4 linked regions of the Saccharomyces cerevisiae S288C genome follow. The protein of the gene in region 3 interacts with the protein of the main gene of each other region in a biochemical or structural test. Each region holds a gene or a part of one and is shown on either strand. Other genes may lie near its edges.

Region 1 (5,630 bases), on a different chromosome or scaffold from region 3:
ATCTTAGCCTTATAGCGGCTAATAATTGCATATGATAAAGTCATTCCCACTTTATCTCCATAAACATAAAAACGCAAGACAAATAACGACAATAAAAGTAACAGTGGTAATAATAATACTTCTGTATGAGGATGCTTATCTTTTGCGGGTTGAGTACAAAAATACACATGGTAAGAAATCACTGTTCAACGTTATAAGAATAAAGAGGGACGAGGAAGGATAATGCAAGTGTAGTTTACAGTAAAAAGAATGACTTTATGGTACTAATGGTATGAATAGTTGAAATTATGTACATTAGATTTGCATATGTATGTATATATAGCTTGCTGTCATACAAGAAGATTGATAACAATGATAAAAGTTAATGAAAAATTTACTTTTTTTCTTTCATTAAAAGGCAAATAAATGTTTCTTGTGAAAACTTTATTGACGATTGCTCGAGACAATCAGTGGGCAAAAGGATGATTGTCAAGTATGTCAACTATCAAAGTTATTGAGGTATATACACAGAATGGACTGAGAAAGGTACGGCCCTATTATAACAGAAGATCAGCGTTCGTGAAGGGGCGCTGGTTGGGTAAGTTACTAATAGACGTTCTCGTTAGTGAATTTAAACTTCGCCCAAGAGCTTATTATTTGGACCAAATAAGGAAAGGCACATATAGGTTGATCCGAGATGGTGTGCCGCTGGTACCAGATCATCTCATGACTACCATAATCAAGAATCATGATGTTTTAGAAACAACTACGCATAAGCACGAACCGCCGGTAAAACAATGGTGTAGCCAGGAAGTTGAAGCGGAGGATTTACCTGGCAGAATAGCGGGATTCAATATTGTTTTTGAAGATGAGAGTATCCTCGTCATTGATAAACCCAGTGGTATACCAGTGCATCCAACCGGTCAGTTTTACCAGAACACAATTACTGAATTACTGAAGTTACATGGTGTAGATGCTCTTCCTTGTTATCGGTTAGACAAGATCACATCAGGCTTGTTGATATTGGCCAAGAACAGTCAGAGTGCGGGGGAAATCCAGAAGAGTATTCGTTCAAGAGATATGATTAAGATCTACTTGGCAAGGGTCAAGGGAAGATTTCCTCACTCCGAATTGATATTGGACAATGAAAATGCGGCGGAAACGACTTTTGAGGACACTTCCAAAGTTACAGTGGAAATGACACCCATATATTCTATCGATCCAAAGAGACAGTTTCCAGTTGGTTTATCGACATCGAAGGATGCTATTACCAAGTTCTACCCAATAAGATACTTCTCTCATGCTGATGAAACTGTCGTCGCTTGTAAGCCAATAACTGGAAGAACACACCAAATTCGAATCCATTTAGCTAGGCTCGGTCATCCCATCGTCAACGATAGTGTTTATTGTTCGCATATTACAAAATACCCCGAAAGGCTTAAGTTTATAACTCAGTTTCCTAGATGGGAGAATCAGCAGGATTTAGATGCTGAGGAATTGAAAGTGAGGTTTCAAAAATTTGTCGATGAGACAAAAAATAATTGTCGGACAATGGAAACATTTTGTCCTGAATGTCATACTGTTGATTTAAAGGATCCTGTGCTATCAGACCTAGAATTATGGTTGCATGCTTGGAAGTATGAGGAGATTAATGGCAAATTCAAGTTCAAAACAGATTTACCAAAATGGGCACAATTGGACAATAGTTAAACTTTTTTTTGAGCGAACTTTTTTTGTATATAGTTTAGTTACCATTTCCGTACTTTGGATGTAAATTAAAATTAAAGAGAGACATTATTTTTAGTTGCGAATACATAACAGCGAATGTTCATGGGGAAAAGTTAAAAACCCTATATAAAGCACCACGAAATACACATCGCGAACAGAGCTAATGAGAGTATACACTTGCTAACTATATGAAACACAATCGTCCAAATGGTACTGGGAAAGCAGTTTCTGGCTTCAAGCAGATAATAAGAAGGCTTCTACTCCTCTTGAACAAGAAGAGAAGAAAACAACTCGTCATCATCTTGAAAAGAATAACCCAAGTCTATGGAATAAACCTAGTATTTTATGTCAAAAAATGGAAATTGAAAAAATTACAGGGTGAAAATATTCAAATAAATGATATCATGCCATGGCTAAGAGAGTCTACTATATTAGTCTTGCTGAACATACTATATCCAACTTTGATGAAGTTCCCATTTTTAAAAAATCATTATATTCACTGGTCTTCCATTGTAGGAATATCGTTAATGCTTACCAAGGGTGAGGTACCTTCGTGGATTATCGCACACTTTCTTGTGGAAGCTATAGCCTCCAAATTAAAGATCGCAAAATTAACACAATGGTTGAAAAAAAAAAATTTTTCCCAGGGTACATTAATAAAATTCCAGCAAATTCTTGTGTGTTTAGCGATTATTGTATTATTTGCCAAACTGGACAGGAGTTCGTTACCATTCCGTGTGCTTTTTGACCATAGGCCATTTTTAATAGATTTCTTCACAATCAATGCCATTTTCACAGTTTTGGCAGTATATCACAGAACATTAAAATTCTTTTTTACTTCAGGGACGAAATCAAATAAGAATGTCGGCGGCCACGAAGTCAGGAACTTTTCTCAATACCTTGGGGTCAAGAACCATAATGATTGGCCCATATCTTCATCAAATTTGAAGCATGTAATGGACAGACTAAATGAAATACATGAAGTTACAATTGATGATAATTATGCAAATATAAACGAAAAGATAATAAATTCATATTTCACCAAGGGTTTTTTTCCAAGTCTAAAATGGACTATATTAAGGCAGTGTATCGAATATTTATTCGTCACGAAAAGGCGCAGATTAATGGGCAACAAATTGCGGTGCATCGTGATGCTTCTTACATTCACCTTCGTGGATCCAACAAGTAAAATGAAAATCAGCCCATTTTTCGCAAAATTCTTTGCGAAGTCCTTGGTTAATGTTTACTTGAAAAAGTATTGGCATTGCAACTTTGGGAAATATATACTATTCTTTTTGTTTCAGCTTAGTATTATGTGATGTGTTTTTTTAGAAGAGAAGAGTTTACAAGTTTGTAAATAATCTATATTATAGTTGTCTTGATAAATGAATTTACAGTATGAATTAGTTATTTACTGAACCTATCAAGTATGATACTCATGTATGACGGGAATGATAGGGAATAAGCCCCTTCTCTTCCTTAGTTCATTATGGTTCTTATTATTCATCATCATTTAAGCACCGGGAGCCTTCGCGTTACCTTTCAATCTCAAAAGAATTTCTTTAAGCTTAGACCTGTCTCTACCCCCAATGATATCGGCATCATCTTGGTTAATTAATTGAAGTGCACGATCCCAGGTCGTATTGTCTTGACCAAAAAATTCATCTCTTTTCTTTAAGAAAGCCTCAGCTTCCTTAGCAGCATCTTCCAATTGTTGTTCCTTCTTTTTATTGTAAGAATCGTAAAAATCGTCAATATGTTTGATAGCTTCATCCTGCAATTCCTTTTTTAACTCCTCGTCCTTTAAATCCTTTTCGTGAATCTCTACAGCACGACGTTGTTTCCATTGGTCTACAACTTCAGAACGATCCTCTTTAACGGATTCTGTACTCTGATTGGCACCTTCGAATGTGGAAAAATCATCATCTGCCTCGCCATTGTCATTACCACTAGATACAGTAGCACTACCATTTTGATCGCTCGAGACTGCGCCATTTGCGGAGTTGATATCTGGAAATTGCTCTTCAAAATCCCTAATTTCGTCATCATCTTTGGCGGGGGAAGCCTCCGTTTCCAATATGTCATCCTGTTCAGTCTTGAACTCGTCTCCAAGTATCTCTGCTTCTCTTTTTAAAAAATCGGTGTCGTCATCTTTTTTGTCGTTGGGTGTGAAATCAATGTTTTGATCTTCCAAAGGAGGGAATTTCTCTGACATTATATATATATGTATCTAGTGAAACGGCGGCGTCCTTCAACTGCTCTTTTGGGTGACTCGCAACGCCTAAGTAAAGCTGTAAAACCCTTTTTCTAGCACGTATATTTTCAGTTTAGTTGTTTAATCTTCTAGGTGCCCCTTTCAGTGTAAAAAAATATGGAAGTGTTTCTATCGTGTAATGTGATGATAATAACTTTTTTATAGAAATGTTACAGATTAGTATGTAGTCTATGTTAATAAAATGTATACTTGTTCCGCTTACTGGATTAACACAGATGCGCCATTTCCAACTTCTATAAGTTCATTTGTATTTAAATCCAATACCTTAAGTCCGGAGAGAGTGCCATAATATCCGGACATAATACCAATAAATCGTAAATCCGCGAAGTATGTTTCTCTCGGAGGTACAACTGGAATTTTGTAATCGTTGGATAATAGTATAATCCCCTCCGCAATTTTTCTATATTTATTATGCAGTTGGTACTGATTTTCCAGTGTCAAGGGCGAATTGGGGATAGTCCCATTATTCATGCCACAGTTGTTTATACCATTGCTGTTACGTACGTTATTAGCTGAAGGGATTGGGTTTATTGTATTGTTATAATACACAACAAGATCCAGGGGGGATGATGACGAGTTAATGATCTGAAGCCTCATAGTAAACTTTTCGCCCTTAATAACTTTTATATTGCTATTAATAAACTTGAATTTTACATTGCTTAATTTGCTATTCACCAATGATGTAGTCGAAGCAGCTCCAAGACTAAATCTTGAGGAGGAAACCCCACCTAATCTTAGATTGGCCAAACCACCAGAATTAACGTTGTTGGCCGCACCATTAAAAGAAGCGCTATGATTGGTATTATTGTTGTTACTCGAGTATTGAGAAGATGTCGAGGAAATTGGCATAGAACGCTTCAATGTGACTTCTGTTTCCCATGATGTTCTCACAGGTAACTTCAGATTGGGATGCAGCTCGAGTTCGTACGCTAAGGTGATTTTCACACGATGTGGTTGAGTTGATTTGGGTAACAGAACCAGTTTAAAAGTAGCGCTAATGCTATCGTATGAAAATGCAGTGAGTGGCACTTTCAAAGGACAGATTGGATCTAGTTCAATTTGAGAGGTTCCGTCGATTAGTTTATACGATATTTCTTGAAAGTTCAGTTTGAGAAAAGAATTGTGTTCTTGCGGATAAATAAATTTTTTGGTCAGTTGTTCGGATGCTTTAGAAGTTTGAAAGTCTAACGATGATAATATGCAATGCTCAGATTTCAAGGAGATGTTTCTCAATCTCATATTCAAAAGTGAGAATATTGGGTATTGGAGCTTAAGAGTAAATGTATTCGGATTTCTAGAAACGTCCGCTTCGTGGACTTCGCTATTTTTAGAACTAACTCGATGAGTCGCCCTGTTATTTTTCTCCAGATGATTATTAGTATTTTTGGATGATTTGGTGGCTGCAGAAGACCAGGAATAAACTGGCTCAAAACTTGGCAAAATCTCCTCGCTAGAGTACTTATCTAATGTATACTTTGCCTGTGGATCTTGTAATGAATCCTGGTTATTGAAATTTGCATCCACAGATTTATATTCAAAGACAAATTTGATCTGATTATTATAACCATTATTCATAACAACATTTGATTTGAAAAGAATCTTCGAACAGCAGTCGTTTTTCAACCTCCATAGATTTTCATTGTTCTCA
Region 2 (7,182 bases), on a different chromosome or scaffold from region 3:
ATTAGCGTCTTGAGGGTTCTTACTTTTATTATCCTCATTATTCTTATACATTGTACATTGAAAAAAGTTCTTACCGTGGGGCGCCCAGGGGCCCTCACAAATCCAACAGAATTCGTATTTACAACTTGAGCAAACCATGTGGTTGCAGCCACCATTTTTTTCAATATTAACAGAACATTTTGGACATTCTTTAGTGTGGGACAAGACCCAATTCAAAATTTCTGATTCTTTTCTGGCTTTTTTAACCCAAGCAGTGGTTATTTTACAATCTGCTGGGGAATGAACTTCGAATCCGCAATTGAAACAGAATCTATGAAATGAATTACACTTAACGAAAGGTGAATAATGCAAACGGGTATATTCTGGTAATGATGACGTATCTCGCAAGTGCACGATGGATTTACAGTCAGCAAACGGGCACCATTTATAGTTACGATTATGTTTTTGAACAAAACTTTTGATTGAAGAATCCATCAACTTACTACTCGAAGGATGTCCCATCACTTTATCTATATCTTCATTTTTCAATGCCAGGGAACAGTCCATGCATGTAATGATGTTCCCCTCATGCAACTTATCCTTGATGTAATGACGGTAGCAATTGATACAATATTCATGGCCACATTCCAACGCAAATGTTTCCGTATCCTTTTTATCACAACAAATAATACATGTAAAGTCATTTTTGAATTCAACTTCTCTGAAATGTGAATTATAATCATTATCTTTCTTGATATTTGCTGTGGTACTTAAGCCAAGCTCCACAAGCAATTCGTCCATTTTTTCGGTCCAAACTTCTAGCAAACGTTCCTCGTTCCAATCATAATGCTGTAGTAATATCAATATATCCGCAGATGGAATTGCAAAAATAGGTTGTAAATGGTCAACCCTTTGAAGCATTCTTTCAAATATACCCTTGGTGGTTAAGCATTCATAACTGAGATTCGGTACACTCCCTTCACACAGTATTCTTTTGTTGTTTTTCGTAAGAGGAGCATCTAGCATCCCCTCATATATGGTATCGACTCCATCTTCATCTTCATTGATGTCAAATTCTGAATCTTGGCTTGTTACACTAATTAACTTCGGGAAAACTAGTCCATGTATAGTAAATTCAGATGTATTGTGAGATTCATAAAGTTCAATAGAGCTGGAATCACTTTCATCAAAACTATAAAATTGATCATTTTCGGTACCACTACTCATTGTTAAAAGCCTCTAACAAGTACACCCAAATTCGCTAAAGACAAATTAAATATACTTAAAGAATGGCTATAATTCCTGTATAGTAGCTGGGATAGTAACAAATCAATACAAATGTAGCTACCTTAAAACTAAGGCAGTACTCACAGCATTCTTCACCTTCCTCTCCTCTTTTCTAAAGCGGGTTCCTATTTTTTGCGCAAGGAGGAAGGACGATGGCACTGAGAAAGCATCAAATCGTATGTAATTAAACTACGCAAGGTATGTACGGTCAATAAGTATAGCTTAGCGCTTTAAAATTAGGTGGGACATTAGGAAAACTAATAGGGGAAAATATTTCTTAAAAAAAAGGGCATGAGGGCTGATCAAAACTTGATTACAATGAATGGTCAACGCGGTCAATGGCAGCCTTAATTTTCATACCTACTCTCGTACTCAATTCATAATCATCTGCGTAGCCCTGAGCCCTCAGTAACCATTCTTTACTCTCTGGAAGGCCATCCATGCCCTCCAACTTCCATGTAAATAGAGCACGTTCATAAAGTGCAGTCGGATAGGCCCATGGATCTTCAGTTTTCTTTATATATTTGACCTTGCCATTTTGAATGGAGAAAAACTTAGGTAGAACCTTTTCATCCAATATATCACAACCTTCTTGGATATGACCTAATCTTCTTAATGTCAAAGAGACCAAGAGATCTTTGATTAACTCCTGATCTGAGTCTAAAGCTTCAATGGCGGGATTTCTATACTCAGTTAGCATTTTCTTTGTTAGCTCCAAATGCTCTTCAGACATTCTATTATAACCATTGTAGAAGTACGCAATTTCGTGTACTGGTGAAGTAGCGATACCATCCAGAGGATTTTCCACCCCAAGTTCCTCCTTTTTCGCTTTAAATTGCTCAACTTTTCTCAGAATAAACCTATCTAATGGCAGGTTCTTCGATTTGAAGGTTTTCTTACCTAGCAAATTCACAGAGGTGAAGATAAGTTCTTCGGCCTTCTTTTGGTATTCATCCTTTTTGTCTGACTTCATTAATCCCATTTCGCACATTCTCCAATTTTCTAAATAACAGCAGCCAGCAAAATATGTGTAAAAAGCGTGTGACCAATCACTGATGTCTAATAGCGATAAAATATCTTCTGCAGCTCTATCGTATTGATGCAAATGGATCAATGTTATAGCACGGTCAAAAATCATCAAGGATTTGACCTGTCTCATCCGTATCTTGCTAACATCAATCGAATCCATCAATGCGACTGCTTCCTCTAAACGCCCTTTACCAGATAGCATCCTTGCCTCATTCAATAACCATAGCGCACTATTGGGAAATAGCGCTCTTGATTGCAGCAACGCATCTTCCAGTATTTTCCCAGGATGCAACAACGTAGGGCCATCCATCTCTTCATCTTCAGAATCTTCACTGTTACTGGAATCCTTAACTGCTGCAGGAATATCAAAATCATCGTCAGTGAATTGGAAAGGTCCATCATAGTAAAACATCAGGGCTAACAAACCAATACAACCATGCACGTTTCTTTGCTTTGTGGCTTTCCAAACAAGTCTCAAACCTTCTTCTCTGGAACCCCTGAATCCAACCACAGATAGGACCGCGCCAATAGCGGGTGGTAATAGTGATATCACAACCTGTAAAATACCAAAGCATAAATTGACACCAGAATGGACAAACTCATCAATTGTTGCTTGACTTAAATCTATATCATCCGAAAGAACTTTATGATCTGTTATTTCCTCTTCTGGCAAGTCTTCCATTGCTTGTAGTCCTAGCTCACCTCTCAACCTGTTAATTGCAGGAGAGTTGCCAATGTGGGCGCCAGATAATCTTTCAGTCCTCATGCTATGAATTTGTTCAGCAAATTGTAAAAGATCCTTATCCTTTTGTTCTTCAGGAGTCAGTTCATAAGGTATATCAACGGAATTGAACGCATCGCCACCAGTTATGAAAGTCGCTGGGGTGGACTCCTTATCTTCACTGCCTGACGTAATTTTCAATTTCTTGGCTTTGTTAGCAGCTTTAATAGTTTCCAAGATTTCTTGTAACATATAGTACGACTTTCTGAGCTTTAAAATGGCCTTGGCCGCCTCCATCATACTTTCACTGAAAATCATCAATAGGGCATGTAGAAGGCATGATTCTGTATAAGTCACGGCATAAACTGTTCCTGGAGGATATAAAGAACTGCTCTTCAATCCAATTTTTTGAGCCCTCTCTCTACTTTTCAAAGATAAAGCTTCTGCCTTGGCCAAAGTCGCAGAAGCTTTTTTCATCTCTTCAGCTTCAAAACCTAAAGTGGCCTCCAAAAATTCAATGACACCACGAGCTAACGCATTTATAGTTTGGTCGGAAGCTTCTTTAGCATCACTCTCATCCAGCAAAGCCAAACCCTCGTCAGCATTATCATCTAAGACATAGTCCATCGCACGCAGTGCCTGTTCGAAATCATGAGCTTGTTTTAGAATGGCTTTAGTTTTTTCTTCCTGTGAAAGCTCAGGAATCTCTTCCTTCGCACCAAAACCAAACACTTTAAACATTTTGGTTGTTCTGTGATCCACTAGTCACAATTAGCCTGTGGATCGTCTCAGTGGTGGCATCCGAATAAACGATGCCTCTTTTTTAGTTGATCGAATTTGCCCCCTTCCTTGGAAAAAAGGAAAGAAAGCAAAAAGCCGGGAATAATAATAACAGAGAAGACTAATAGACATTTTTTTAGTAAGATTGGCCTTATCTCGAACAAGATTTCTGAGATGACAATTCGATTAGCTTAACAGTAACAAGTGGGGGAATTACGCATTATATATATATACTTCTGTATATGTCTACCTACGAAGTGGTGCGAGTCACACTCGTCACGACGAGCTATTGTGGTCTACAAGAACTACACGGTTTTCCTTCTTGATATTCTTGATTTCTTCTTTCATCTGTTTTCTCTTTTGTTTGGCCATCGCCTTTAGCGTACTCACTGGCACAACCGTGGTGGAAGCATATCTATCTACGCTATCCCAAACGCATTGCTCGACAACATTGGGAAGTTTTCTGCCATACAGGCACTGATCGACCAGCCACATACCCACAATAAAAGATTTCCTATCTAAAGTACCATCTTTTCTTGTGTCTACCTTCGTGTAAATTTCTGCCAATAGACTATTGGGCAAGTTAGACCGCTTCCAGATATCACGGACTATGATACCCAATATCAATCCATCTTCGGGTAAAGTATTAATTGCTCCGGAATCACCCGTTATAGAGGGCCACCAGCTCAACAGGTTCAAATGACGGTGTCTGTTGCTTACCCACATGCTTTCGTAACGCTTCCTTTCGTTGTCTGTTACGAAAGTTATATCTGTATGTGATTTCCAGGGTTTATCCTCATTGAATTTCCGATCTCTCGTGCGGTGGATAGGCCTATGATGTGCAGTTTTATTGGCAGAATTCCTGATCTTTCTCTTAATTCTATCTCTTTTGCGTGGCTTGGTCAAGGCGTCCTGGTTCTGATCAGATTCAGAATCAGAATCAGTATCGTCATACACATCATACGTGTCGTTGGACGGATTGTACTTATACCTCAGATTTCCCTCATGTAGAGAGGATGCATGATCATTTTCTGCGTTTGTACTTACAGAGGTTTTACGTAATGTTGTTTTAAATCTCATACTCGGTTGTTGTTCATGTTGTCCCAGTTCTTCGCTGCTTGCATCCATTTCATATTGTGAAGATAAGTGCTTGGGCTTACTACCAAATACTTTCCTTTTGAACTTGTTAACAAGCTTCTTCTTCCTCATATCGGATGAATAGTTCGGAACCAAGTTGGGCAAACCACTTCCCTGGTTGCTCGTTGTAGTAGTAGTGTTTGAGCTTGCAATAGATGGCTCTGATTCACATAACGAGAGTTGATTAATTGTTTGAGATAGACTTGTTTGTGACCTATTAGAAATAACGTCTGAAGTGTCCGGATTGAGACTATGTCTGGAATCGATGCTAATTGATGATAGGTTTTCATTTTCATGAAGCTGACCACTGCCGACAAGTGATGATTGCAAGGGAGGAGACGGCCTGCGTTTGGGCAGAGCTTTGTTGCTGTCTTTATTAGTTGCAGGCTCCATAGAGCTCGAGGATAGCCTTCTACCGCTACTAAAGGAAGTAAGTAAATTCTCTTGAGATCTATTGTCGGGAGTTCTTTGGCCAGGCGTCAGTGATTCATTGGAGCCGTTTCTTGAGCTTGAGCGTGAATGAATGCCCAGCAAGCCATTCAAGTTCGGAGTTTCTAGAACTTTTAGTGTATCCAATGCCGAAGAATGGGAGGAGTTATTGTCAGAACTAAGTTTCGATTGTGAATGCGCTAAAGCAGCTGCCATTTGAGCAGTACTACTAACATTATCTTTACCTGCAGGGCTTGACCTGTGTTTCTTAGACAACTCAACATCATTAGGCGCCGTTGTTTTAATCTTAGGTACCTGTTTTGTTCGTATGCGTGCCTTCTTTTGTTCTTGTTTCCGCCCTGACTTTTGTAGCGATGGCTCTGATAACCTAGTTTGAGGATTCCTGCTCACCGTTACTGGAGGGCATGGACTGCTGACCTCATTGGAATGGTTCTGGAAGATAGCTTGCGCAGCGCGAAGGGAATCTGAAGCTCCTTGTTCAGTCAAAGTTACTGTTGTACCGCCATGATAACGCTGTTTACCAAACGAAAGTCTCATACTCCTCTGCTAATCTTTTCCTATGTCAAAAAAATGAATCTACCCAGGCCTTAAAAGTATGTTCTACCTGTGCAACGAGAGTGTTGTTGTGGCAAGGGTCCATTACACAATGGGCCTTTTTGTGATGATTCAACTTCGATATGCTTTATACGAGAAATCATCGAATTTTCGCTGCGTGGAAACAAGAGGCAGTAAGTTGTACGTATAGGTGAGGCTCTGCATAGAAGAGGCGTATTTGCGGTGAGACGGAATCTGACGAGGATATTAAGTACAGATGGCAGAACAAATTAGTCACAAAAAGTCCCTGAGGGTGAGCAGTCTGAACAAAGATAGAAGATTGCTCTTAAGAGAATTCTACAACTTGGAAAATGAACCGAATAAAGGTCGTCAAGAAGCACGTATAGGGGAAAAAGCCAGCGAGGCTCATTCTGGGGAGGAGCAAGTCACAGATGTGAATATAGATACCGAAGCAAACACTGAGAAACCAGTGAAAGATGACGAATTGAGTGCAACTGAAGAGGATCTCAAGGAGGGGTCAGAAGATGCAGAAGAAGAGATAAAGAACCTGCCCTTTAAGAGGCTAGTACAAATTCACAATAAGCTCTTGGGCAAAGAAACCGAGACTAACAATTCTATCAAGAATACCATTTACGAAAACTATTATGACCTAATAAAAGTCAACGACCTTCTCAAAGAAATTACAAACGCCAATGAAGACCAAATTAACAAGTTGAAGCAAACAGTAGAATCTTTAATCAAGGAACTGTAATTTCCAGCGGCATATCGTGGCTTTCACCGAACACTTCCTTCGAGAGAGTGCATTTTACTATGTGAACCAATTTTTCCTCTTTTTCGGTTTGCAAGTTCACCTGAAAAACTGCTTAACACTACTAGCAATTGCCCTATTGTCGTACGAGGACTTTGCCAAATGTATTCCCGGCTGTTTGTAGTATATATACGCAGATATATAATAGCGCCGTCTTTTTACCTCTTTGAGCGAATTGCCAAATATTGACTCTTTTGTCTTATTTCGCTATCCCCATCTTATCAAAAATGGGAACAACTCGTTGAAATAAGAGACAAGCAACAAGAAAGACAACCAACAGAAAGTTCCATTCCGCACAAATACGCTGGAATCCCATAGAATATTGCTTGTTCCTCTATGACTACATGCTCCAATTCAATACAGAAAATGATACTGTAGCTCCAGTGTTTCCCATGGAGCAAGATATAAATGCAGCACCTGATGCCGTCCCACTGGT
Region 3 (6,186 bases):
GTGCCTTTCGTTTCAGTATTGGCTATGTCAAGCGGACAAGTGAAAACTGCAACTTTATGCTTTTTATCTTCGGATAATGATTTTACATGGCCTTCAGGCTCACGATTGAAAACCATACCTTTGATGACGGTAGAATTGGAAAGCGATCCACCCATAATCTTTACTACTCTGATAGAATCAACATTAAAATAAGGAATTTCTCCAGCTTGCTGAGCAACTGGTAAAACGTGAGATACAGCTTCAGAAACAAGTTCACTCAATATGTCTTCAGATCCGTACTTTTTGGAGGAGATGACTGGTTTAATCATTTTCAAAAGTTCGTTTTTATCATTCTTGTCAGTAATTTCACCAACAACCATTTCGTCTAGTTCTTTCAAAGTAAACTTCCTTGCCATATTATAACCTTGAATAATCTCAACGGCAGACAAGCCCATTGAAATCAGTTTTTCGGACACATTTAATAGTTCGCCAGCCAAAATCATGACTAAATTTGTACCGTCTCCCATGTCGATCTTCTGTTGTTCAGTCGCCATTACGAGGACTTTCACTGCAGGATGGACAATATCTAGTTCTCTTAGCATGGTGGCCGCGTCGTTGGTAATAATGATTTTACCGAGATGGTTAACAATGATCTTGTTTCTACCACAGGGTCCCATAGAAGTCAAACACATTTGATGTAATTCGCGAATGGCCGCAATTGATTTAATAATTTGGCCATCGGCGTTAGAGTAACTATTGTAGCCTTGTTTAAACAATCCCGCGTTGGGATTTTGTGGCAATCTAAGTGACATGGTTAATTGATGATTTTATTGCCCTTGAGGTTCAAGTTGTCTTGTCGGTATCTGTAAAGTGAGAACATCATCATGCTATACTATTTTCTTCACTTTTTTTTGCCACTAGCGGAGGTGATGAACATTTTCGAATACCGTTAATAATGACAAAAACACCATTAACTTGGCTTATATAAAATAAGCTATTGAAATAGTAAATGTGCTCGCAACTCTTTAATTATCTAAATCCGGCAGCTTCTTTATTGATTAATAATACAAAATGTTCGGACAAGTGATCATTAGATATCAACATGAATTCAATTGGTAACAATTTCGATGCTTACATTTTATGCTAGTATACACCACGCATATGTCTGTCAATGTACCTATTACAGAAGGAAATGTTCAAGAAGCAGTTCAGACAGTACCGAAGCAGAATTAAAAATCCATTATTTGAATATGATCTGATAGTCATATATATGAGCAATACAGGTCTTCACATTAAATGTATGAGAACTGCCGGAACCACTATTACATTGGTCACAATTAGGAATGAACCAATCGGCGTGTGTTTTATATCCCCCTTATATAAGTCTAAGAAGATCGATATTCAATCTTCATTAATAAAGCTTTTTGACCTCTACCTATGAGCAATAAACCATATCCATCAATAGTGGTCAAGCCGTAAGAATGTTTTTACCGAGAATAGAAGTAAACTTTTCTTATTGTATATAAGAAAAGCATATAAACACGCGCCCAGAGAACATATTCAGTATGCCCTAGCTTGGAAACACATCAGTAAAATACTACGCGCCTAGTATAATGACTTCTATATCCAAAATTTTTAAGTTAACCTTTCAAGTAAAAGATCTTTGCCTTATACTACTGTCTGAACAACTCGTATAAATTAATGTATGATATGAACATTCCCATTGTTACGATAGATGTCCTAATGAGGATCAACTATAATCTATCGAATAGTATTCATATTACTAATATATTATCATGTACGATGTACCAAGATGGCATGAAGATTGAGAAAACAGTCATCAGATTTAATAGATGCTGAAATGCCAGGACTGATAGTGTAACAGAATAATGAATGATATCATATAAATTGGGGAAACAATAATGACAATATTATGTGAAAATATCAATTCTCTTTTGTGGATTACAAGATCCCCTGGAGAACTTCTAGTATGTCCTGTATACCCGGTGCTATATCCTTTAATAACCATGGAATCCGCAAATATTTGATGTAAAGTTTGTTTTTCTTCCCCAACATCCTTTGTATGCTTCAGTAGCTCAGTAGGAAGAGCGTCAGTCTCATAATCTGAAGGTCGAGAGTTCGAACCTCCCCTGGAGCACATTTTCTTTTTTTGTGAATTAAACCTCGAAGCTCAACATTCATGTTTTGAGATAAAAAAAGGTACTTATTACTTGTGTAAAAGAAAGTTTATAATGATGATCTTATTTAAGTTTATAGTAGGACTTTCTATGCATGTCTTGTAGAACTATTTATGCTGGACTCGCCATTAATTAGCTCCAGTGAAAGTACATATCTTCTTTCTTGGACATTATTATCTCTAGTAATAGTGATATAAGGATCGGCATTCAACAGGTGATCTGGTATTTGCGGCAATCCAGATTCTGGTCCTGCGTTTTTTTTCAGTTCCATAAACCTTTCAACGCCAATCGGCAGCAAATCAGCCGGTAAATGACGTTGTAGATCGCACATATCGAATGAATTGATGTAAAAATTGACTATATCAAAATAAGCTTCATTTACGGATTTCTCGTCTGTTTCAAATAAAGAATACCTTTTACTTGACCAATTCTTATTATCTAGTAATTCATATGCTATTTTCAAAATGGCCAATGCAATGGAATGTTGGGGTATGACTAAAATAGTTTCTAGCTTCAAAGCATCATAAGCAATTACCCAAGCCAGATTGCACAACTTATAATCAAAGGATAGCTCCCTACCAATTTTTATAACATATTCATCAATATGAACGTAATTGTTGACTCTATAATCGAATGAGCATGACTCTAATATCCGAAGTTCTATTTGAAATACCCTTTTTTTAAAATTTTCCAAAATGTCCGTATTGATTTTAACCACATTCCTCAATCGTAATGACAAAGTACATATATCATTTGTTTTTTTAATTGTCTCAACTTCTTTACAGCCCAAAGTCAGGCAGCTTGTCGCTACAGTGTAGCAAACCTCGGTCTCGAAGCGATTAAAGAGGTGGTATCTTTGGTAAAAGTATACTGCTGTTTCTAAAGTCTTCCGTGGAAATTTCAGCTGAACACACAAGTCACTTAGAAATTTGAACACGGCAAGTTTTTTCTGGTTGTAATTTCGATAGTCCGATATTGTATTCTTTTGGGCTCTTTGAATTTGCCTTTTAGACAGAAACGGTCTCGAAAAAAAAAGCTGGGATTCAAACGTGCTAGGCATATCAAAGTACGTAATTTTCTTAGTTTTGCTGGCTCTATATCTCCTCTCGCTCTATAGATACAGATATATATATATATATATATATATCTATGTGTATAAAGACGGCTTTCAGGACAGTACTTGTTTGGATTTTTGATCATCGCGGATTTTCGCAATGCAAGTATAAAGAGAGCATTACCCGCCACACAGTGATTCTTCAGCAAGTTGTACCGAAAAGGACCATTTAGGTACGTGGGATCGCAAAGGTTCCCAAACGGTGTGCATCAAGCCGTAGACTTCATGAGTGCTTTCGGTGCAGCAAAAAGATAAGGACAAAAAATACTGAAGGATGCGAGGTTCGAACTCGCGCGGACAACCGTCCAACAGATCTTAAGTCTGCCGCCTTAGACCACTCGGCCAACCCTCCATCTTATTTAAAAATCCTAGGAAATAGATGTTATATAAGTCATACATCATTGAAAACATCAAATACCGTTCCCTGCGTTGTTCTACAGAAAAGCGCATTAGAGTAGGTCATACCCTTTAAAAAATGATTTTGTAAATGCCAGAAAGTAAACAAATATGCATTTCGCCTAGCTCCCAATGTAAATAGCCATAAAAAAGGATAAAATGCCAGATTTAGAGTCAGTTCTCGTTCTTCTTCTTCTCTGTGTTCAATTGTTCAATTGCATTGTTAATCACTGAAATTCTATGTTTCAAATTGGAATGGCAGACTGAACTGAGACCTTCCTTACTTTCTCCTCTATCAAACCTAAATATTCAATCATAACCTTATTTTTTCACTTCCTTTTTCTTACTTTTTTTTTTTTTTTTTTTTTGTATTTTGGAAGGAAAGCAGGGGGGACTTACCATAAGAAAAGCGACTCTAAAAAAGTGTATTTTCTTCCAAAGTTCAGTAAAGACAGCTGGGAAGTATAGTAACAGAGGAGAGAAAGCATAAGGAGACCTCTTGCTGCAGTTCACAACCAAAAATAGCATATCTTTACTATTGTCGCTAACCATTGCGAAACGAGCTAAAGCAACAGCAAACGAAATCCCTAGGTCGAAATGTCATCAAAACCTGATACTGGTTCGGAAATTTCTGGCCCTCAGCGACAGGAAGAACAAGAACAACAGATAGAGCAGAGCTCACCTACGGAAGCAAACGATAGAAGCATTCATGATGAGGTACCAAAAGTCAAGAAGCGTCACGAACAAAATAGTGGTCACAAATCAAGAAGGAATAGCGCATATAGTTATTACAGCCCACGGTCGCTTTCTATGACCAAAAGCAGGGAGAGTATCACTCCAAATGGTATGGATGATGTAAGTATTTCGAACGTGGAACATCCAAGGCCGACAGAACCGAAAATCAAAAGGGGTCCATATTTACTGAAGAAAACATTGAGCAGTCTTTCAATGACGAGCGCGAATAGTACTCATGATGATAATAAAGACCACGGTTACGCTTTGAATTCATCCAAGACGCACAACTACACATCTACTCATAACCATCATGACGGTCATCATGATCATCATCATGTTCAGTTTTTTCCCAATAGGAAGCCATCATTAGCGGAAACCCTATTCAAAAGGTTTTCAGGGTCAAACAGTCACGATGGCAATAAGTCAGGAAAGGAAAGTAAAGTTGCTAACCTTTCCCTTTCAACGGTAAATCCTGCACCTGCTAATAGGAAACCTTCTAAAGACTCCACTTTATCTAATCACTTGGCTGATAACGTGCCAAGCACTTTACGAAGGAAAGTGTCCTCATTGGTACGTGGTTCTTCCGTCCATGATATAAATAATGGTATTGCAGATAAACAGATTAGACCAAAGGCTGTTGCGCAATCAGAAAATACATTACATTCATCCGATGTTCCCAATAGCAAACGCTCGCACAGAAAAAGCTTTCTGCTAGGCTCCACATCTTCTTCAAGCAGTAGAAGAGGTTCAAATGTCAGTTCAATGACTAACAGTGACAGTGCAAGTATGGCGACGTCGGGTAGTCATGTTCTCCAACATAACGTATCTAATGTTTCTCCAACTACTAAAAGTAAGGACAGCGTTAACAGCGAATCCGCCGATCACACTAATAATAAATCCGAGAAAGTGACTCCAGAATATAATGAGAACATTCCGGAAAATTCTAACTCTGACAACAAACGCGAAGCCACAACGCCTACTATAGAAACACCCATTTCATGTAAACCATCCCTTTTCAGGCTAGATACAAACCTTGAGGATGTTACTGATATTACAAAGACGGTGCCACCCACCGCTGTCAATTCTACACTAAATTCTACACACGGGACTGAGACTGCCTCACCCAAAACGGTGATCATGCCTGAAGGTCCTAGGAAGTCGGTGTCAATGGCTGATCTCTCCGTCGCTGCCGCAGCACCTAATGGTGAATTCACATCAACTTCCAATGATAGATCACAATGGGTAGCACCTCAAAGCTGGGATGTGGAAACCAAAAGGAAAAAAACAAAACCTAAAGGGAGATCGAAATCAAGAAGGTCAAGTATAGATGCTGATGAACTTGATCCCATGTCACCGGGGCCACCTTCAAAAAAAGACTCTCGTCATCATCACGATCGAAAGGATAACGAATCAATGGTCACTGCGGGTGACAGTAACTCAAGTTTTGTTGATATATGTAAAGAAAACGTTCCGAATGATAGCAAGACCGCACTCGATACTAAATCTGTGAACCGCTTAAAAAGTAATTTGGCTATGAGTCCCCCAAGTATACGATATGCTCCATCAAATTTAGATGGGGACTACGACACGTCTTCCACTTCCTCATCTTTACCGTCCTCATCTATTAGTTCAGAAGATACATCTTCCTGCAGCGATTCCTCTTCGTACACTAACGCGTATATGGAGGCCAACCGAGAGCAGGATAATAAAACACCGATCCTGAATAAAACGAAATCGTATACCAAGAAATTTACATCCTCTTCG
Region 4 (5,150 bases), on a different chromosome or scaffold from region 3:
ATGACTATGGCATTGTCATAGATGTGGAAGAAGTCTTTGATAATAATCATAGGGTAGTCCACCAACAGGGCTCTCCTTCCGGTGACTTCAGCTTTCTAGCTTTGGAATCTGGAGAATATAAGATCTGTTTACAGTCTAGGGTAAATAACTGGGTAGGGAAAACCAAAACAAAGTTAGAAATCGAATTTGAAGTCGGTTTTGAAGCAATGTTGGACATGCAAAGAAAAGAAACCTTGGAAAGTTTGCACGGAAAAGTCAGTATATTGAATTCTAAGATCGTGGATATCAGGAGAGAGCAACAACTGATGAGAGAACGTGAAGAATCCTTTAGAGACATATCAGAGTCTGTGAATTCTCGCGCAATGTGGTGGACGGTAACTCAAGTTACTCTTCTCATTATAATTTGTGTATGGCAAATGAAAAGTTTACGCTCGTTTTTTGTTAAGCAGAAAGTATTATGACCGTACATATCAAAAAATTGAATCCTTAGCAGGCATACATGAGAATTTCGTTGTTTCAATGATTTATTTCTATTTATTTACATGCATTACCCCGACGCTTCATAGTGTAGTCATTAAATGAGTGTATACATATATATACTAACCTAGTCATCAAGATGTTTTAGGTGTTTCAATTCTTATTATTCATCTATAAAGACAGAATAAATATATACGGTGCGTATCAGATATGCTATTTCAACATACTATCTTTCGATAATCGGATCAAAAAGCTCCTAACGATTGCCATTACAAACCTTCGTCCATCCAGGCCAACGTTTTGTTAATTCCTTCTTCAATACCAACTCTTGGTGTGTAGCCTAGCAACTTTTTGGCCTTAGCAATGTTGTGATAACGGTATGCACACACAATCTTGACTCTGAATGGAGTCAAACCTGGCTCTTTACCCAGCATCTTGGATACCCATTCTGAAAGATAACCTGCACAAATTGCAACTGGCCTTTTCAAAACAATAACATGTTTATCAATATGACCATCTGCCTTCCACACAGTACGGGCCAAGGCCCAAAAATAGGTGGGGGTATCATTGGTAATGAAAAAAGTTTCACCCGAGACAGCAGTTCTTGTTTTTGGATCGAGAAGTTTCTGTGCAGCTAACACATGCGCGTCAGCAACATTTCCAGCATAAGTCCAATCAAATAGATTGTTATTATCACCAATTTGGAACTTCGACTGCCCCAATTTCGCAACCTGTCTTAGACCAGGTACTAATTGCCTATCACCTGGGCCAAAAATACCAGCTGGACGAAGAGCAACAGTATAGAAATCACTGCTTGGATCATTCGCCTTCAAGACCATATCTTCGGCGATAGCTTTAGTCTCATTGTACGCATCCATAGGAACTTCTGGGATTGGCCAGGTTTCGTCTGCATTGTGCACATCTTGCCCATTAAAAATAACACCAGCAGAGGAAGTATATACAAGTATATTAACGCCACATTTCTTGCACATATCTATCACGTTACGGGTTCCCTTAACATTCACTATGTCATAAATATCTGGATTTTGACCATGCATTGGAGAAGCACAATGAACAACAACATTTGCTTTACTTTCGTTAATTGCGTTTTCCATATCATCAGGTGATGTTAAATCACCCTTATGAAATTTTATGTCGTCTACATTAAAAGTAAACTGTTTTGAAAGTTTTTCAGGGAGATCTCTAACATCAAAAATGTGGATGTCTGGCTTAGGATTAATATCAAAAAATTGCTGAATTAAGTGCAATCCAAGAAAACCAGAACCACCGATAATTAAAACTGAATCTATCTTTGACATATTTATTTTTGTTTGCCCTTCCAGGTAGAGTTGCAAATAAAATTGGACAAAATTGACAATCTATATTGTTGTCTATTCTATTTTATAGCTGCAGCATAATCTTTTCCTTGCAGGCTTATATGAGATTTTTAAACGATACCATTTCTCGAGAGAACAATAAACGATCTATAGGGACTATCGGACCGAGAAATATAAAATCCACAAACACCGACAATAAAATAGCCTCTAAAAAAAAAAAAAGGTCCTGGAGAAAGCAATATTCATACCGCATTAACTTTCATTGAACCGAAGATCTACAAATATCCTTTCCTTGCATTATAATTATCCAATACTTTGTCGTCAATATTCTTTCAAAGAAAGAAAAAATATGAAATCAAAATTAAACATTTTTCTGTAATTTCCGTAATACAAAAAACTATTTTCTTTTCGGAAGGCAAAAACAAAAATTATAATAAAAATAAAAATATGTATAATATAATTTTTATCTTCTAACTTTTTATTTATTGAATTTTTATATAGTAAATATAACACGTGATATATTTGAAATGTGATTATATTATATATATTGATGTTTACATATTTTTTATGTAGTACAATTAATTTTCAAATTTATCGAAGCTCTTAAAAAGCTCAAGAAGCAAATTTCCATGAACTACATTCAAAATTTGCGTAGCACCTAAATTCGTTACTCAAACCATTAGAATGTTCAGGAAGAAAAGTTGTTATTCTTGTGTCAGAATAAACTTTGGATATGACTTCAGACATTCTTTCACCAGTACAACTTATGAGGCGGTGCTTAAAAACTCCTTTCTTAGTTTTAGAGTTGTCATTTGGCGCTAATAAACACTTTGCAGTGATAGAGGCTATTTTATATCAATGAATAACAGTTAGTAAGATGAAAAGATACTGGAAAAAAGATTAAAAAATGAGTAGGGATATGTTTATGATATACATACACTTTGTTTGACAATCTTCATTTAAAAAAGGTGGGTCAATTAACAATCTATCAACTTTTCCTTTAATTTCATCACTGAAGTCCAGTGGTTTATTGTAATCATAAAAAAAGAAATGATCTCTTCCAGCTAACAACTCGAATCTCTTATCAAATTCGAACAAGTAGATATGTTCGGTTGGAATTTCATTAGTAGGTTTCTTTTGAATGGCAGCATAGACGGATGGCGCACTAACTATTGCAATTACAGTGTTTTCGTCCGCACCTTCCAATATGGCATCTGCTAAAATTGCGGCTGTGTCATCGCTGTACCAAAACTGGGAAAGCTGCCAATCTTCCTTGAAAAGCTTCATCCCTTCTTCTTTTTTTTTCTTTTGGAAGTCTTCATCCGTTTCGTCGTAAAGCTTTTGAAAGGCTTCTTGATGTTGTTGTTCCTCTCTTTTGAATTCTTCAAGGGCAGCGAGGGCATTAGCAGAAAGTGTCCTATTAAGTTTCGTGTTAGTTAGTAATTCTACGTTACTGTGTTGAAAATATCCTGTACTTACAATTCATAATCGGAGTCGGAGTCGGAGTCGGACATTTTATCAGTGATTCTTTCGGTTTCATTAAGATGTAAAGTGACTGATTAGTATATTAGTCAAGATTAATATTTTTTTTTTTAGTTCCTCCAGTTCAAAAAAATTTTGTTAGATTTAACCGGCATAAGGTTCAGCGATACAGACGAAAAAAGAAGCCTCTAAATGAATGGGAAATTATATATACATGTATATTATGCAGTTGATATTCTATGAGATGACAATACTAAACTATATACCTATATACATTGCCCATCTTGGATTTTGCTGCCTTACAGATGACAATATAAGTTATTTAGAGATTGAGGGTTACTAGTGCATAATATTTGCGTGATTTCCGAAAGTACCTCTGAAGGTCCCATGTTGTACACCAAATATTATAAAACAGTCTATTTTACGCAAAAATTTTAATCACATACGTGCTAGCAAAAAGCATTTTCTGATGTTCACTTGGTGATTGACATACCAGCTTCGTATTTGTCAACGTGTTTTTTTAAATCGATAAGCGTATTGATTTTTTTCAAAAGCTCCTCTTGTCTTTCCATTACATCAAATGAGGGCATCACAGGGCGAGAAGGTAACGATAATTCTTGAAGAATGGCGAGAATTTTGTTCTGCAGCGCAGGTTTGAAGGTCGATAATTTTGTAGATCTTAAGTATACACCCGGCGATAGCTTCTCACCATGCGTAATCACACCTAAAGCCTTCCTTTCATCTGAATTGAAATCTTTCAGCAATTGTTCTGCATATGCGCTTTCTGACTTTCTTTTGAGCGCCGTTTGCATTTCCTGTCTTTGTCTTTTGGTTTTCTTGGGGGAGAGATTTTCCTTGACTTCTGACTTTTTTACATTCAGTTGTTGAAGTTGCCTATGTTGGGCAAACTGCTGTTGCTGCTTCATCCAAGGATTTTCAGGGATGTTCAAATCGTGCTTCCGCTTTCTAGTTTTATCTGCTAGAAGCGCGTTATATAACTGAGACATTCCCTGAGAGGTAAGGTATTGTGTAATTGTCTGATCTGAATGTGGCGAGTCCAACAGTCGGAGTAATGATTCTCTTTCTGCAAGTGTTCTCTTGGCAGCCATTTCAAATTTTTTGGACTCTACTACGAGTGCCTCTTCTTCAGCAATTTCTGCTGCAGAACGAGAAAGAAGACGCTGTAAATACTTTTTTCTCTCTATCTCCTTTTCAGCTGAAAAATTCAAAGAAGATAAAAGCGGATTGCTAGGATCACTTGCTTTAAAATAATTCCTACAGGTGTAATAAAATTTTTCTTTGAGATCTTCAAGTGTTCTTGAATTATTATAACTGTATCTGTCAAAGATCAGGAACCAACGTAAATCGTATTTTTTGCAGAGATTGAACAGGTATTCTATTTCTTCAAAAGACCAGCTATTTTTACTTTCATCCTTCTTTTCATTAGTAAAGTTTTCGTTATGGTTTTTTTCACTTTCTACGCTTTTTTGAGTTCCTTCGTTTTCATTCATAAAAGCCTCGTACTCCTCCTTGGTGAATGATGGAATAGATAAATGCTGATTGAACTTAGAATATGGCGATTCTTTTGGTGTGTCTCCTATTAATTCTTTGGAACCCTTGACCCAATGACGCAGAGTCACAGAGTTATTAGCTTTGAACTCTACAAATGACCAAGGAGATGGCTTGGACGTCGAAAGCATTTTTTCTTTAAAGTTATTTCCAGACTTAATAACAACGGGGGGTTGGTTCTCTCCTAGCAGGTTAAATAGTTCTCTTTGCATGCCCGTCACTTGAGGCTTGGGCCGGTTGGCTGCCGAGGACGAAGGCACTGATACCTGGCCATTAGTTGGACTT

The links.
Region 1: the proteins of CTK2 (region 3) and CLC1 form a complex in vitro, tested with the Saccharomyces cerevisiae proteins (one large-scale study listed by BioGRID).
Region 2: the proteins of CTK2 (region 3) and YKR018C form a complex in vitro, tested with the Saccharomyces cerevisiae proteins (one large-scale study listed by BioGRID).
Region 4: the proteins of CTK2 (region 3) and EFM5 form a complex in vitro, tested with the Saccharomyces cerevisiae proteins (one large-scale study listed by BioGRID).

What each region holds. Positions count from the first base shown.
Region 1 is NC_001139.9:830,748-836,377, reverse strand, and holds CLC1 (clathrin light chain CLC1), read right to left. Parts: upstream 3,923-5,630; coding exon 3,221-3,922; downstream 1-3,220. Other genes in the region: pseudouridine synthase PUS6, read left to right, coding at 475-1,689; PEX35 (Pex35p), read left to right, coding at 1,896-3,026; TRS65 (Trs65p), read right to left, coding at 4,181-5,630. UniProt on the Saccharomyces cerevisiae protein: Clathrin is the major protein of the polyhedral coat of coated pits and vesicles. In yeast, it is involved in the retention of proteins in an intracellular membrane compartment, presumably the trans-Golgi. The yeast light chain is important for cell growth.
Region 2 is NC_001143.9:472,144-479,325, forward strand, and holds YKR018C (uncharacterized protein), read right to left. Parts: upstream 3,758-7,182; coding exon 1,580-3,757; downstream 1-1,579. Other genes in the region: E3 ubiquitin-protein ligase HEL1, read right to left, coding at 1-1,206; IRS4 (Irs4p), read right to left, coding at 4,073-5,920; VPS51 (Vps51p), read left to right, coding at 6,195-6,689; ALY1 (Aly1p), read left to right, coding at 7,091-7,182.
Region 3 is NC_001142.9:420,873-427,058, forward strand, and holds CTK2 (Ctk2p), read right to left. Parts: upstream 3,238-6,186; coding exon 2,266-3,237; downstream 1-2,265. Other genes in the region: chaperonin-containing T-complex subunit CCT8, read right to left, coding at 1-791; YJL007C (uncharacterized protein), read right to left, coding at 1,826-2,140; CYR1 (adenylate cyclase), read left to right, coding at 4,285-6,186. UniProt on the Saccharomyces cerevisiae protein: Cyclin subunit of the CTDK-I complex, which hyperphosphorylates the C-terminal heptapeptide repeat domain (CTD) of the largest RNA polymerase II subunit.
Region 4 is NC_001139.9:494,707-499,856, forward strand, and holds EFM5 (protein-lysine N-methyltransferase), read right to left. Parts: upstream 3,329-5,150; coding exon 3,294-3,328; intron 3,232-3,293; coding exon 2,753-3,231; intron 2,660-2,752; coding exon 2,427-2,659; downstream 1-2,426. Other genes in the region: ERP6 (Erp6p), read left to right, coding at 1-461; ERG26 (sterol-4-alpha-carboxylate 3-dehydrogenase (decarboxylating)), read right to left, coding at 747-1,796; SWC4 (Swc4p), read right to left, coding at 3,770-5,150.